Linked DNA regions of Mytilus edulis. The protein of the gene in region 1 interacts with the protein of each later gene in a biochemical or structural test. Links are inferred from orthologs where the notes say so. Each region holds a gene or a part of one and is shown on either strand. Other genes may lie near its edges.

The links.
Region 2: of the proteins of stress-activated protein kinase JNK-like (region 1) and transcription factor Jun-like, one has a biochemical effect on the other in vitro, tested with the Drosophila melanogaster proteins (2 studies listed by BioGRID). The link is inferred for Mytilus edulis from reciprocal best matches to the Drosophila melanogaster genes bsk and Jra.

Annotation. Positions count from the first base shown.
Region 1 is NC_092352.1:12,133,390-12,141,335, reverse strand, and holds the start of stress-activated protein kinase JNK-like, read right to left. Parts: upstream 3,023-7,946; 5' UTR 2,713-3,022; intron 1-2,712. UniProt on the Drosophila melanogaster protein: Mitogen-activated protein kinase and key component of the c-Jun N-terminal kinase (JNK) pathway which phosphorylate and activate transcription factors involved in a wide range of biological processes including response to various stresses, cellular proliferation, differentiation and migration, and regulation of cell shape.
Region 2 is NC_092344.1:111,934,016-111,940,354, reverse strand, and holds transcription factor Jun-like, read right to left. Parts: upstream 2,262-6,339; 5' UTR 1,738-2,261; coding exon 862-1,737; 3' UTR 519-861; downstream 1-518.

The DNA.
Region 1 (7,946 bases):
ATTAAATGCATACTAATTTGACGAAATTCATTTTTCTGCCGTAATCAATATACGCATGTGCAAACTAATTTTATTGGATAATAAAGTATGGTTTCTTTACAAAGCTAAAGAAGCACGTCATATTAGAATCAAAACTTTTCAATGTGCATTATAAAATTGGTGGAATTTATTTTGGCGATTTTGTTCTATTCGCCAAAGTAAGTGAATATTTACACCCTGCGAAAATAACCGCGATACAGTAACACCATATTTTTTTATCCTGGTATCTTTCTAAGAAAAAATAACAGGTTGTGGGGAAATGCTTTTTTAACAATATCTAATTATTCACTGCTCATTTAAAATTGCAATTTGGCCATGAGAAGACCAGAACACCAGTGATCAGGAAGGATGTGCGCCTTGCATCTATAGCGCATATTGACAAGAAATGGCGCATTCAGTGACAAATGTAAGCGCCAAGTTGGGCACAATATTTTTCACTTCATTTCGAAACGCTTAGATATCGTCAAATGGTACCAGTTTAAACATTGTAAATAAAGATACGAGTGAACCAACACCTGAAGTGGTGATCGTGCGGTAGGGTAAAAACGAGTGGATACCGCTAGGTATTCCCAGTCATCTTGAAAAAAAGAATGTGTCGACAATAAAGACAACAACACTCATGTTTTTACCGCATAGTATCTGTTTATTGGGTCTACATGTTTCGCCTAATCGATAGGCAATTGTCCTGATGATGCCTATCGATTAGGCGAAACATGTAGACCCAATAAACAGATACTATGTGGTAAAAACATGAGTGTTGTTGTCTTTATTGTCGACACATTGTAAATAAAGGTTAACTTAAATATTGTTCGGGTTGGAAGAAGTTACTGTATATTCATTGAAATAGAAGTTACAAAATCACAGGATCAATATCCATGAGTTTATTTAAAATCATAAAGGTAAGTACCAACACCTCTTTGCCAAAATATACTGATACTTTTTTTTTTACAGAAGTTAATTCAAATGGCCTACTCATTTGACAACATGGCCCATTTTTAATTATTTTTTAAAATGGCCCATTGAATTTATTTTTGCGACACATAGTATCTGTTTATTGGGTCTACATGTTTCGCCTAATCGATAGGCATCATCAGGACAATTGCCTATCGATTAGGCGAAACATGTAGACCCAATAAACAGATACTATGCGGGGCTTCACTAATAAATCTTCGTTCACACCAGGAAACGATTTCCCAACATTTATCTCAGTTCTACATACATACTCTTGAACGCTTTCACTTGTAAGCATAGTTATATTTCTCAATTTCATTCTACAAATCTGAGCAGTCTCAATATCACCAAATCGACTTTTCAATGCAGAATACAAAACAGATACATTATAAAGATCTCTGTGTGGTAAATACGACACATATTCTAAAGCTTTACCTCTCAGTGAAGTAACCAAATAAAAAGCCATATCACTAGATGACCAATTAAAACCTTCAGCAAAGATAGAAAATTTCATCCAGAAACCTTCAAAAAGTTCAGTACCGTCAAACTCTGGTACGTCACACCAGCTCATGGTTAATATATATCAAAATGCTGACAAATATAAGTTATAGACATACATAAAACAACAATTATTTATAGATAAACGTGACAATGTTGATATCTTTCAATTTGCACCTTAGATTGTCATTTTATCCTTGATGCTTACACCGAACAAAAATGTTTAATTAATTTTCGTCCACTTTTGCCGATTAAATACTTCTCTGTGAATTATGTGGTCGAATCTGTTTTAATTTCCAATATCAGTTTTTAAAAGGTGAATCTTCGTATTCCAGTGGCTCATCGTCCTTCTGTTGCAACGTATACATTTGGTCAAGATTGTATTGTCGAATAAATTTGTTTAAGTACCTTCATTGTTTGATTTCATATTTCCTCCCCTCTTTAAAAGCATTCCGTCTGTATAAAAATATAAATCATCTGTTTGCCTAGATTTGTTTCTGTTCGCTGCCACCAATGTTGTAAACGTAGAATTCCGAGCATTCATAAATTTATAACTTAACACCATCTTTGTAGAAAATAACTGTCACGATTTATTCACACTATATGTATATACAGACGTTACATAAAATACAAAATACACGGCATACACTCCAACAGTACAAACATTCAGCCATCTTGTCCATCCGGCAACACATCTCTCTCTCCCACGTCACTATCACACAAAGTCAAAAATACGGGAAACAACATTAACACTGTTTCGCGACATTACGGACATGAAGACAAAGTCACATTCACAACATAGGTTTATTGGTGTATTTGCTGCAGAAAAGAAAATTGAAACGGGATTGACACAAAATGCATAAATTTGAACGAGTTGAATAGGGTAATAGTTATATGACTATCAAGCCATCTTTTCAAACCTGAAACACAAATAAATACCACGATAATGCTGTCTAATAACATGAATAAGTGGTTAGACTGTACTTTGTATATGAGATGAACAACGATGTCAGTAATTTCGTGTCATAAATGAAGTCAGGTTTTTTTAATGTGAGGACAGCCAAATGCATTGCCATACAAACGAATTATCAGAATTTACTCTGCACATACATATAACATAAACATATCGAACTCTTTACAAATGTCAAGTAAATTATTATGGTAAATAAATACACTTTTCATAACGCGTTGAGGGAGGTCTTCATTTATTTGTTTTATTCTAACCTGTTATAATTTCTGATTTGATGCTCTTATAGTTCTTCTTCAGATGATCATCCAGTTTCTATTTCTACAACACAGGTGATGAATCAAAATAATTTATCGACCAAGTAAGGTTGACTATTTCGCTGTAAACGTCATCGAATTTTGCGAAAATGTAATTATCGCGTAAACGAGAATACTTTTTTGCATATTTTTTTAACAAATCTTTTTACAATTTTTATATATAAAAGCTCAATTACTTGAATATTTTTCACAAAAATTAAAACATATTTTGATTTGAACTATAAATTCTAAAAGTAAATCGAGTGACGATATTTTAAAATAGGTCTAACATCTCCGAGTGCAAATAAATTTACTATAGACCGAGACTACAGCTATAGAGCAAGCGACGTGTAATTCTTCTTTTTTAGTTACAGAACCATCAATGTTTTGACGATTACTTTCTGGCACGTGCCTTATTGAGGTTGCTTTCTAAAGTTAATTTCATTTTTTCTTTATTTTTAAACTTTACAATTTTTATTGAACTTTTAAACTTTACAATTTTTATTGAACTTTTAATTCTTACTTTTTTTTTTTTTTTTAATTAAGATAAAAATAATAGGTACATTTATTTTAAGTGAGAAATGTTTAAAGGAGTACTTCATGGGTAAGTGCATCCTTAAAGTTGTCTGTAGAAGTTTTGTTTGAAATTTCAGGTGATAATTTATTCCAATCTTTCAAGATTGCTTGCGGGCCCTGAAGAATGAGAATTTAAAACTGTCGGTTTGAATAGAGGACTCCCAAAAATCTATGAAGGTTTGAAAAACCTTTTAAGTCAGTGAAATGCGTAAAAAAAATATATATCTGTAAACTTTTGCTCTGGGTATTGTGTCTCACGAAAAAGCTTCTTTCCGTTGTTCAGAACCCAGAGGCGGATTTAGGGGGGGGGGGCATGCAAGGGGCCCGCCCCCCTTTTTGGGAAAAAAATTGGTTGCTTATATAGAGAATCACTGAAACGTGACTGGAGCGGGCCCCCTCTTAGGTCAGTCAGTGGGCCCCCACTTATGAAAATTTCTCACGGATCCGCCCCTGGAACCACCCGGCAACGTTACTAACTGACGTCAAATTTCCTGAAGATTTGCGGAAAGGTTATTGATGACTGGCAACTTAAACTTGTAACCATGACTGTATCGAATAGTTAACTTTAAAAAAAGACAAACGAAAAAAAGGTTTTCTGTCAAAATTTTGCTCTGGCCGATAGGCCTGTCTTTTGATTATATAAATTATAATAATAAAATATTTGTCGAAATTTTCATTAAATGCTATGAAGATTTGACAAAGTGGGCTAACAAAATTTTAACCACTCATTGAACCTAAATGTCGACGACGAAACCGCCGAAGACAACAGATATGAAAATAGCTACAAAGTTTGTAGTACAAACTGAAAGGTGCTTTATATCTTGTAATCAAGCCTGCTTCATCGATGATGTATTTTTGTTTGTACACAAGGGTGGACAATAATTATCCAAATCAAACAAGTCTACAAATAAGAGTATTTCTTCGTTACAAAAAGCAAGGATTTTTATAGTCTTACTGTACAAATCCTTGCAAAAAGCGGCCGTAATTCATTAGTTCATTGGTTGTAGTAAGATTCTAGTAAGACTATACAAATCCTTGGTAGTCTGTAAACAAAATGCAGGCTTAATATGATTTAAGCCCATTTTGGAAAAAAAAACCATTTCGGGTACATAAAAACACGTGCTTAATTTGAATGGTGTTTATCTTATGCTGGTGAAGTTAAGTTGTATTGTATCAGCATCAGCAGTGACTCCTTAATAATATATACATGTAAGAGTGCTGCAAGGTAACCGAATGTATTATAAATAGCAGATATTAAAACATTTGAACCGACTTTTAAACAACCAAATAGATAGAGACATAAAACATGTCTCTTATATATATTGAACTAATTGTATTCAGTATAAAATCCAGTACACAAGTATCATCGGTGAAATACATGAAAACAAAGAAAAAAAGAGAAAAAAGAGACAGTAATTTAGACATTTGTCTATATGTAAATGAAATCTGTTGAGAACGCAAGTCTCTGAATAGTTCATTAAATATATGTATCAAAATTGTCTAAATTACAAAAACATGATGGCACGAGATATAAAAAAAAAATAGATATGATTTCGTTTGGTCCAACAATAATAAAAGTGAAATAATGAAATAATAATTCGTTTTTACAAGGATTTGTATAGTAATCCTTGGTTTTTAGCAGCCAATTCAGTACAATTTTGTCAAAATAGGCAAAGAAATATCGCTGATGAATTGTCACTAGCAAGTGAATAATTCGACCTCATTAATGATCTGTATTCATTTGACCTTCAATTTAACCCATTAGCTAGAGATTGGTTACACATGCATTAAGTCGTGTTCAGCCATTTAAACTTAAAGGAAAAGAATGTCAACATTTAAACTGAACCAAAGGTGAACCATTTCGTTGACTGACTCGATCCACAAAAAAATCATTCTTAGACTTAGACAGTAAAAACCGTTAATTAAATTTATTATCCTATAGCACGGTAAGCATAGTGTCCTGCTAGGATCGTAGTTTTTCGAGTGATTTGGTCCATTTTTTTCGAATGATAAAACATGCGATAAGTTAAATTAATGGATAACATGAAATCAAACAAACCTAGATAAATACAATTGCACGAGATCGCAATCTGTTTATATTTATCATATCATTAATATCAGATTGTCTGTAATTTGTATGATAAAGAACATGCTTTCTTAACTGTTTATTTCAGACATATTGTAATTTGGATATATATATATAAAAAAAGAAGATGTGGTATGATTGCCAATGAGACAACTATCCACAAAAGACCAAAATGACACAGACATTAACAACTATAGGTCACCGTACGGCCTTCAACAATGAGCAAAGCCCATATACTGCATAGTGAGCTATAAAAGGCCCCGATAAGACAATGAAAAACAATTCAAACGATATGTTTAATCTAAGTGTTAAAGAAATCATAGTCAGGAACAGATCAACACTTCGTTTTGATTTAATCTAATTAAAAGTTCTGTCTCTGATTTCGTTATGATCATAAGCAGAGACATATATTATAGCGGTCATAAGTGCGAAGACATACGTTACGATAGACCTCAAGGTTTTATAGTCAGATTGGGTTTATTCGTAGCAAGGATTTGTATAGTAAGACTAATACAAATCCTTGTTCGTAGTAATAATAATTTCCAAACCATTTATGAAAAATCCTGGGAAAATCTAAATAAACTTCACTTATGAAAAAGTCTTATATACCTTTTCAATATACAAATGTAAGATATTTTCTGTTTATTACAAGACTTTTCGGCCACTGTCATTCCGGCCATAGTTAGTGCCAGTTCGGCCAATCAGTTTCGAACGTGTTCCCATTCGACCTTACCTTAAAACTTTTAGATACATTTGGATGATGCATTTTTAAAATTTATTAAGTACATGAACCTATCTAACCCTCAATCCTCAACATTGATTTTGAAAGAAAAGGATTTTTATAGAACAAATAATCGAATTTGTAGTACATCTTTTAGCTAATCAAATTCGATGATGTCATTGATTTGTGTGCACAAAGGAAGTTACTTTCCTGTTTCTAAAAGTAGGAAGTTGAAAAGTTGAAATCAAAATGATTTTAAACAATCCCAAGCAATGACTTCAAAGAAAACATCAGAAGGTAAACATAGCAATTTCTTACATTAAATTATATCGAAACATTTGACTGTCTTGCACCGTGCACGAACTTCTATGAATTACTTTCATTTTTATCCCTAAAAATAATAACAATTCGAGTTTGTATCATATGTAGGACATTGAATCCCCTTTAAAGTCTTACAAGTAATATACAATTATTCTTATAAGGCATATGCTACTGGTTGGTCTCCTGAAACTATCGGTTTAAACAAGTGCATTTTGCATGTTTGACAATTTGTTTAATTTGTGAGACTATTCATATTTTGTTGTCATTGACATTGTACCATACTTCTACTAATATGAGGCAGGAATTACCTGTGAATGGGGACGAAGTCTATGATTTTTTTTTTAAATCAACAATGTTAAAAAGAGACGGAAATACCGTAACATTTCCGATTTTTGTTCTGTTGTTAGAGATTTTAGTTGTGACGTTATTTAAGTTATGATATTCAATGTAAACAAAGAAACGTTGTCATCAGGTAACCTTTTTTAATAACAAACATTTTTTTTTAAATGAATTAGTATTAGTTCCTTTCTTAGACTGATAAAAATACATTTTATTCAAAGTCTCATGCAAACAAGACCGGAAACAGAAGTAGATTTCTGCACCGATCCGGAAATTCAAAAAGGCGACAAAAAAAATTGAACGATTTTGGGTCATTAGTACAATGAAAAATTCAGGAAATTTTTCCCGATTTAAAAAAAAATTTTTTTTTATTGAATTTTCTACTGTAATAGGGGACTTCGTCCCCATATTAAATATTCCTTAATATACAGTAAAAGCATGAAAAGTGAGGTAAAACATCCTTGTCTTCGGTCTAAAACATTCAAGACTACATGTACATGCACTGGTGGTGTTGAGTGTTAGTGTGTTCCAGTCCCTTATTCTTGGATAGAACAATTCTGTCCTCAATTCTGTTCTGAAAGTCGGTGCAAATTAACTATTTTTAATAGAGTTATTCCCCTTGAAAATGAAAATTATTTACTTAATTGCATTCAAAGATTTCTCAAACCTTCATTTCTTGTAGGATTGTTATGAAATTTACATCAAAGGTTTATATCAGTTATCATGGTAATGTCTTAAATGAGTTTGTAAATCATGTTAGATCTATTATTTTTGCAGGAGTTACATGTATATTGTAGATCTCTTTGATTTGAAATGTACTTTATATTGAACATTGAGTTGGACACTCTCACACCTACATTTTTTCGTAAAATGTTTATGAGGTGTACATAAAATTGAGAAAGGAAATGGTGAATATGTCAAAGCGACAACCACCCGACCATAGAGCAAACAACAGCCGAAGGCAACCAATGGGTCTTCAATGTAGCGAGAATTCACGCACCCGTAGGTGTCCTTCAGCTGGCCCCTAAAATATGCATAATAGTACAGTGATAATGGACGTCATACTAAACTCCGAATTATACACAAGAAACTAAAATTTAAAATCATACAAGACTAACAAAGGCCAGAGGCTCCTGACTTGGGACAGGCGCA
Region 2 (6,339 bases), on another chromosome or scaffold:
CTATGCAGGTCAGGAATATGACAGATGTTATCCATTCATTTGATGTGTTTGAGCTTTAGATTTTGTCATTTGATATTACAGACTTTCTGTTCTGAAATTTCCTTAGAGTTCAAACTCTGTATTTTTGTTGTTTTACATTTTGATAGTTTTAGGTACATCTTTTCACAAGAAATTCAGAAATCTGGTGGTCCCTTAAACCAGAAGCAAAATAGTCTATGAACATTCAAGACAAACATGAGTATGATTAGATTATTTTGTTTCAATACCATACATTTTGTACATAAACAAAAGTATCAAAACCCTACAAAAGCAAAACCAAAGTAACTTTAGAGGTAGAAAATGTAGAAACCATACTTGTAACAACAGAGCACACAAGACATTTACAAGTAGACCTGTAGATATGTTTTTGTTTGTGTTTGTAGTCTCGTTGCATTGGCATCCATACCTCTGTAAACCTGTATTATGTTTTACAATGTAAGGGGAATAACTCTAATTTACAAACATGACATACAAGAAAATTAAATTTTTAACTTTTTATTCATGGTTTTTTTCTTTTTTTTTTTCAAAATATAAATAACAGCATCCACTGGTGCTTACAAAGACCAGAGATGTTTTGTAGAAAATAATATATATATAAAATTATGACATTTGCATGATAACCTCAGAAATAATGACTAAATGAAATTATCACATTTAAACATGCAAGATAGAAATTTTGTTGCAGAAGACAAAATGTTAAAATTGCGGAATGTCAGCAACAAAATTATCATCAAAACATGCAAAAACAATACGTGATTGGCACTTATACATAAAACATCCTTATGAACACATTGTCAAGGCACAGATCATTTCATTCAAATGTTATGAGAATATATTTGTACTTGAAATCATGATTTGACAGCCACTGTTCACATGGTCTATAATTTTTTTCTTTAGTTTACAGACTTGGTCCCTGAGAGAATTTGCTGTTGCTGTTAAATCACAGTTTTGTCCTTTCAAGTCATCTACTCTATCTTCTAATCGGGAGATTCTTTCAAGTTTACGCGTTCTGCACTTTCTTGCAGCTACACGGTTTCTGGCACGTTTTCTTTCAAGTTTGATAACTTCTTGATTTTCCATGTTTATTGGCGACACTGAAAAACTGTCAGTTGTACTAGTTGCTATTGAAGGAACGGTCTGTGGTTCTTCATCCTGTCGTAATAAACTGATTCTTTGGGAAGGCATAGATTTAACTGAATGATTTCCTGCAGAAGATGTGTTAGTTGTGAATAAACCACCAGGGAGGGTTGTAGTAGCTGAGGTAAGAACATAGTCTGGAGGTACATACGTGTAACTGGCATTAGACACAGAGTCACTTTGGCTTTCACAATCCGAAGAGGATTCACCCTTTAAACATTGTCCTGTTTTTCCATGAAGATTGTTCAATGCCTCCACAAATCCTTTAGCAAATGATTCCTGTTCGTCTGTCACGAATTTTGGAAATATGAATTGTGTTGGTGTCGGCGTTGTTGTAACAAATCCATTTGCTTGAATTATAAACTTTTCTAACTCTGGCGATGCCAACTTCAGCATGTTCAAATCAGGAGAAGCAAGCAGATTTTGGATCTTCTGTTGTTTTGTTTTTCCTGATGAATTAAAGTCTAATGTCATCTTTCTTTTCAAACTATTCACGTTTGGGTCTCCGGCTTTGTTCATGATCCCTTCTGGATAAAATGTCCGCTCGGACAAAACTTCCATTGTCTAAAAAGTTTGTTATAGTATAAAGTCTAAAAACTTTTTCAACTTCAGTTGATAACTTGTGATGACTAATCCCAACGAAGGTCGATGTAAAAATGGTGGAAATATGAGTCACCTCTCTATATTTCTTTTCGTGTGAGGCTTGCACTGTAGTAAGTTTTCAAGACGTATGCTTTGTCCAACGTATTTCACTCCTTTTTATATGAAATGAGTCAGTTTTCTAAATATAGCATGACATCACTTTGGATAGCTCTCATTGGTTCTCAATGCGATCATCGACTATGTTGTCATTGTTCCTTCGGAGTTCTCGGACATTTTTTCTTTCATGTATCGGTTAAACCTAAAAATGATATCGTTGGTTCGAGAAAATGTTTTGATTTTGATTGGACGATTCTCTCGGGTGTGACTTGATTTGAACTCTGGAAAAGGGCACTTTCTGTAAAAGGAAATATTGACTGTGACGTCAGGATATTTACAACCCATATTTGGAAAACATTAAATTCTTAAACTTTATTGAGAACTGTTTTGATATTGCGAGTAACCGTTACCTTAGAAACTCTAAAGAAGATTATAAACGTAATATTCTCTAAAATCTAACCTAAAATATTTTTTGAAAGTGGTTTAACAAACACATGTTACTGAAACTTTCGGCGCCAAACCATGCTCTCAGAAGGGGATTTCCAAATATGAATCATCACTATTAACACGTGGAAGTTTTGAGACTAATAATAAAGGTAACGAAAGTCGATAAAGACGAAGTCGAAAGCAAAGAACTAGAATTTATTTTAAATACGCTTGACCATGGCGAGGAGTTAAAGTTTCAGATTAGATAGGAGATTAGAGATGGCCTGTGATCTGATAAATTATTTTTTACATACAAAACAACTTCAAAATAAGAGCTATTGCTCAAAAAGCCTAAACTTCCAAAGGAGCTAACCATTCAATAGGAGTTTTATTTCCAGAAGTTCAACAACTTCTCTAATTAATGGACCACACCTTCCTACATGTATATCTATGGTGGTTGAATATTGAACCACTTCATTAATTCATACATGTACATCACAAAAAAGATAATCTAGTGGCAAAGATCTTAGCTGAATATGTAAGGCAAAATAGTGTCCTGGGAAATAGTGTCCACATGGACACTATTTCCTAGAATTTAGGTATTAAATAATGTCCATTGCCATGGAATATTGTCCCCAAAGTGGACAGATTGTCATAGCAATATCTATGAAATAGTGTCCACTTGACTACAGAATGTTATGAAATAGAGGACATTATTAAATCCTACTATTATTAACAAATTATGTCCTCCAAGGGAAGTACATGTAAGGAATACTAAGGTGGACATCTTATCACTGAAATATAGTATTTTTAAATGTGTCCACTTTCAGGGACACTTTTTCATACCGGAGGACAGTTTTTCATAGAAAAATGTGTCCAGGACACATATAAATAAGTGAATATCGTCCTGAGACCGTATTTACTAGGAAATAATGTCCCGTGGACACTATTTCATTAGGGACATTATCAAATCCTACAAATACATACACTTTTTTACTAAATTTTGGAGAACTTTATAAAAATATTTTTACAACCAGTGTCAAAAAGAAAACTTGTAGCTTTTGATAGACCTATTATTTGGTCATGGAATAATTTATTCAACCTTCTGTGGCAAGCATATTTAAATTTATACCTTTCTATTTTTAAAGGATATTTGTTGAACTGTAGATTTTTTTTAGTTTGTGTCATATGGTTGCTGTCTGGTTGCAATTTACACTGTATCAACTTTTATACGCCTCTGGCCTTTTACCTAACGACTAAAAATTGAAAAAAGGGATTATGATAATTGTTACATTTGTAGTCCTAGTTGGCTGCATTTTTTCTTAAAATTTTTTAATAATAAATTATGCCCTCTGTGTCTAAAAAATTATAAATTTTGATTCACATTTTTATCTATTTCACTTGAATAGCTTTTTAATATGTGAATCTTTTTTTATACCAAAAATTATACCTAAATCCAATGAAATAAAATTTGTTGTTGTCTTTAAACAAGTTAAAAATCCAAAACGTTTTTAAACCTTTTGAATATTTAAATTTTTAAAGTAATACATCCCCCCCTTTTCTCTGTTGATGTCTGAACATGTTTGTTGACAATCCTCCAAATGAACTTTGTGTGTTGGCATTGCATGGGTATTTCCCACTGTGAGTAGATTTTCTATATTTATCTGATGATTCACCACAACAGTAGGTTAGTAGGTGTTTGTTTATTGTTTTTCCATGGCTTACCTGTGAGGGAACATATCAAAATAGAAAATGCAATATCACATATTTTATGCATTTAGTTTTTCTCTAGTTTTTCTCCTAAAAAAAGATTTGAATGTTTTTAAAGTATACTGTTCGTATAAGATAAAGAAATCAAGAATTGATAGTAAATGTAATTATTTTATTAAATATGTGTTAAAACATTAAATATAAGCATATTTGACATATAAATTAACTTGCAAAATTGTTTTCATTAAAACAAAAAAATGAAGATATTTAATTGTTTTGCACAAAGTACATTTAGATTTAGGTTCAATTAAAATATTTTAAAGATTTTGACCTTTTTTAATTTTTAAATTGAACTTTAGTTCAATTGACCTGACAAAATAACATTGAAAACTTCTTAAACACTGACACAAATATTGTTTTTTTTTAGATATATAGAACCAAGGTGTTCCAAGTTAAATTATTACTACTTTTATGCAAATGTCTGTTTTAAGTGAGGTCTACAAATCAACTTTTTAAAACTTCTCATGACTTTCTTTTAGGAAAAAAGGGGGTGGTTGGTTCTCAGTGGCGGATCCAGAAGGGGGGGGGGGGGGTTTCCGGGGGTTAGAACCCCCTCTTTTTTTGGCCGATCAATGCATTTGAATGGGAGCATATATTTGGACCCCCCCCTTTACTCTGGGTTGGGAACCCCCCCTTTTTAAAATGGCTGGATCCGCGCCTGGTTCTAGAGAATTAAATCAAAATGAAAACGATGGTCTACATTTGATGAAATATATCAATTAATATTTTAAGTAAAAGATAATATAAAGGTTACTAACTAAAGTTGAAGTTATCTATGGTTGAACTTTTGTGAAAGAATAGACAGGTGGTTTGAAATTTATGATTTTGAGATTTTCCAGATTTGTGTATTGGCATCAGGCCATCACATGACCTTACTATTGTCTGTAAATTTTCGATCACATGATTGTTTTATTTAAGGATAATATAAAATAACAGTTGTCCCCAATTACGAAATAGTCTGTTAATCATAGTATGGATGATAAGATGATAAACAATAACAGATAGTTATTTTTAATATAAATGAAATTTTAATGTCCAAAAAGATAAAAATAAACCATATATAGATATACTTATATAAATCATATATATATAGATACATAAATATAGATTTATACCCAACTATTTCCAAGCAGCAATTTTTTTCAATAATACATATTTTGTTTGTAAAACAGTGGCGGATCCAGAAATATTTTTTGGGGTGAGGGGCTGACTGACCTGAGTGTTTTTATTATATATATATATTGTGATTTTTTTTTTTTGTTTGAAAATCTACTATTTTATATGAAGATTATTATTGTTTTTTTTCTTTTATTCCCCTGCCTTTTTGGAATTTTTAATTAGAATAAAAGCTAGTATTGTCATTGTGTTAAAAAGCTATATTTATAATAAGTTATGTATTATAAGAAATGGCTAAGTCACAGTTGTTGAAACACTATAATCTCTATTAGCCATAATTTTGCATCATAATCCATAAATTTTGGTCTCAATCACAAAATTGAACTTTGTCTATTTTAGTATGCTGCATGTTTGATTAACAAGAAGTAAGTTTAACTATGTGAAATGTGAAGTTTTTTATTTGATTGATTGATTATACAGTGTTTAACACTTTCAGTACTGTTTTTTTTTTTGTGGCAGTCTGTTTTTATTGGTGGAGAAAGAAACTTGAGAACCACCAATTTTTGGCAGGAAAACTGGAATCCTAGTCAATTGATATTGGAGTTGAATGTACCTGCCATGTGTGGGGTTTGAAACCTGCAACCTCAGTGATAACAGTCTGATACAGTATATGAACTACTAAGGCCACTGAGCCACCTACTAGGTAGCCACTTACTAGGTAGCCACTTACTAGGTTCTCTTTTTATTGAATGAGAGGGTTGAATGTCTTTTATGATGAAGTACTTATAATACACCAGCGATAGTTGTTGTGATGTTGCATCATTATCATTTCAGTTTTCTACACATATCAGTGGCGGATAAGGGGGGGATAGGGGTTCTTGGGTTGGAACATCCTCTTTGTTTTGATAATGCGATTTGATTGGGAAATAAAGTTTGAACACCCATCCCCCTGGTGTTTTCTTTAAACGGCTGGATCTGCCCCTGCATATTAACTGCTCTTATAGTTAATAAGCTTAATTGACTGTTAAAATGTGAAAGACTTAAGTTTGCTTAAAAAAATATGAGATGGACTCTTAGAACCCTTGAATTCAAAGCAGGATTTTACTAAAACTTTATTTATGCAGCTATTGTAAAAATTTGTGTATGAATAAT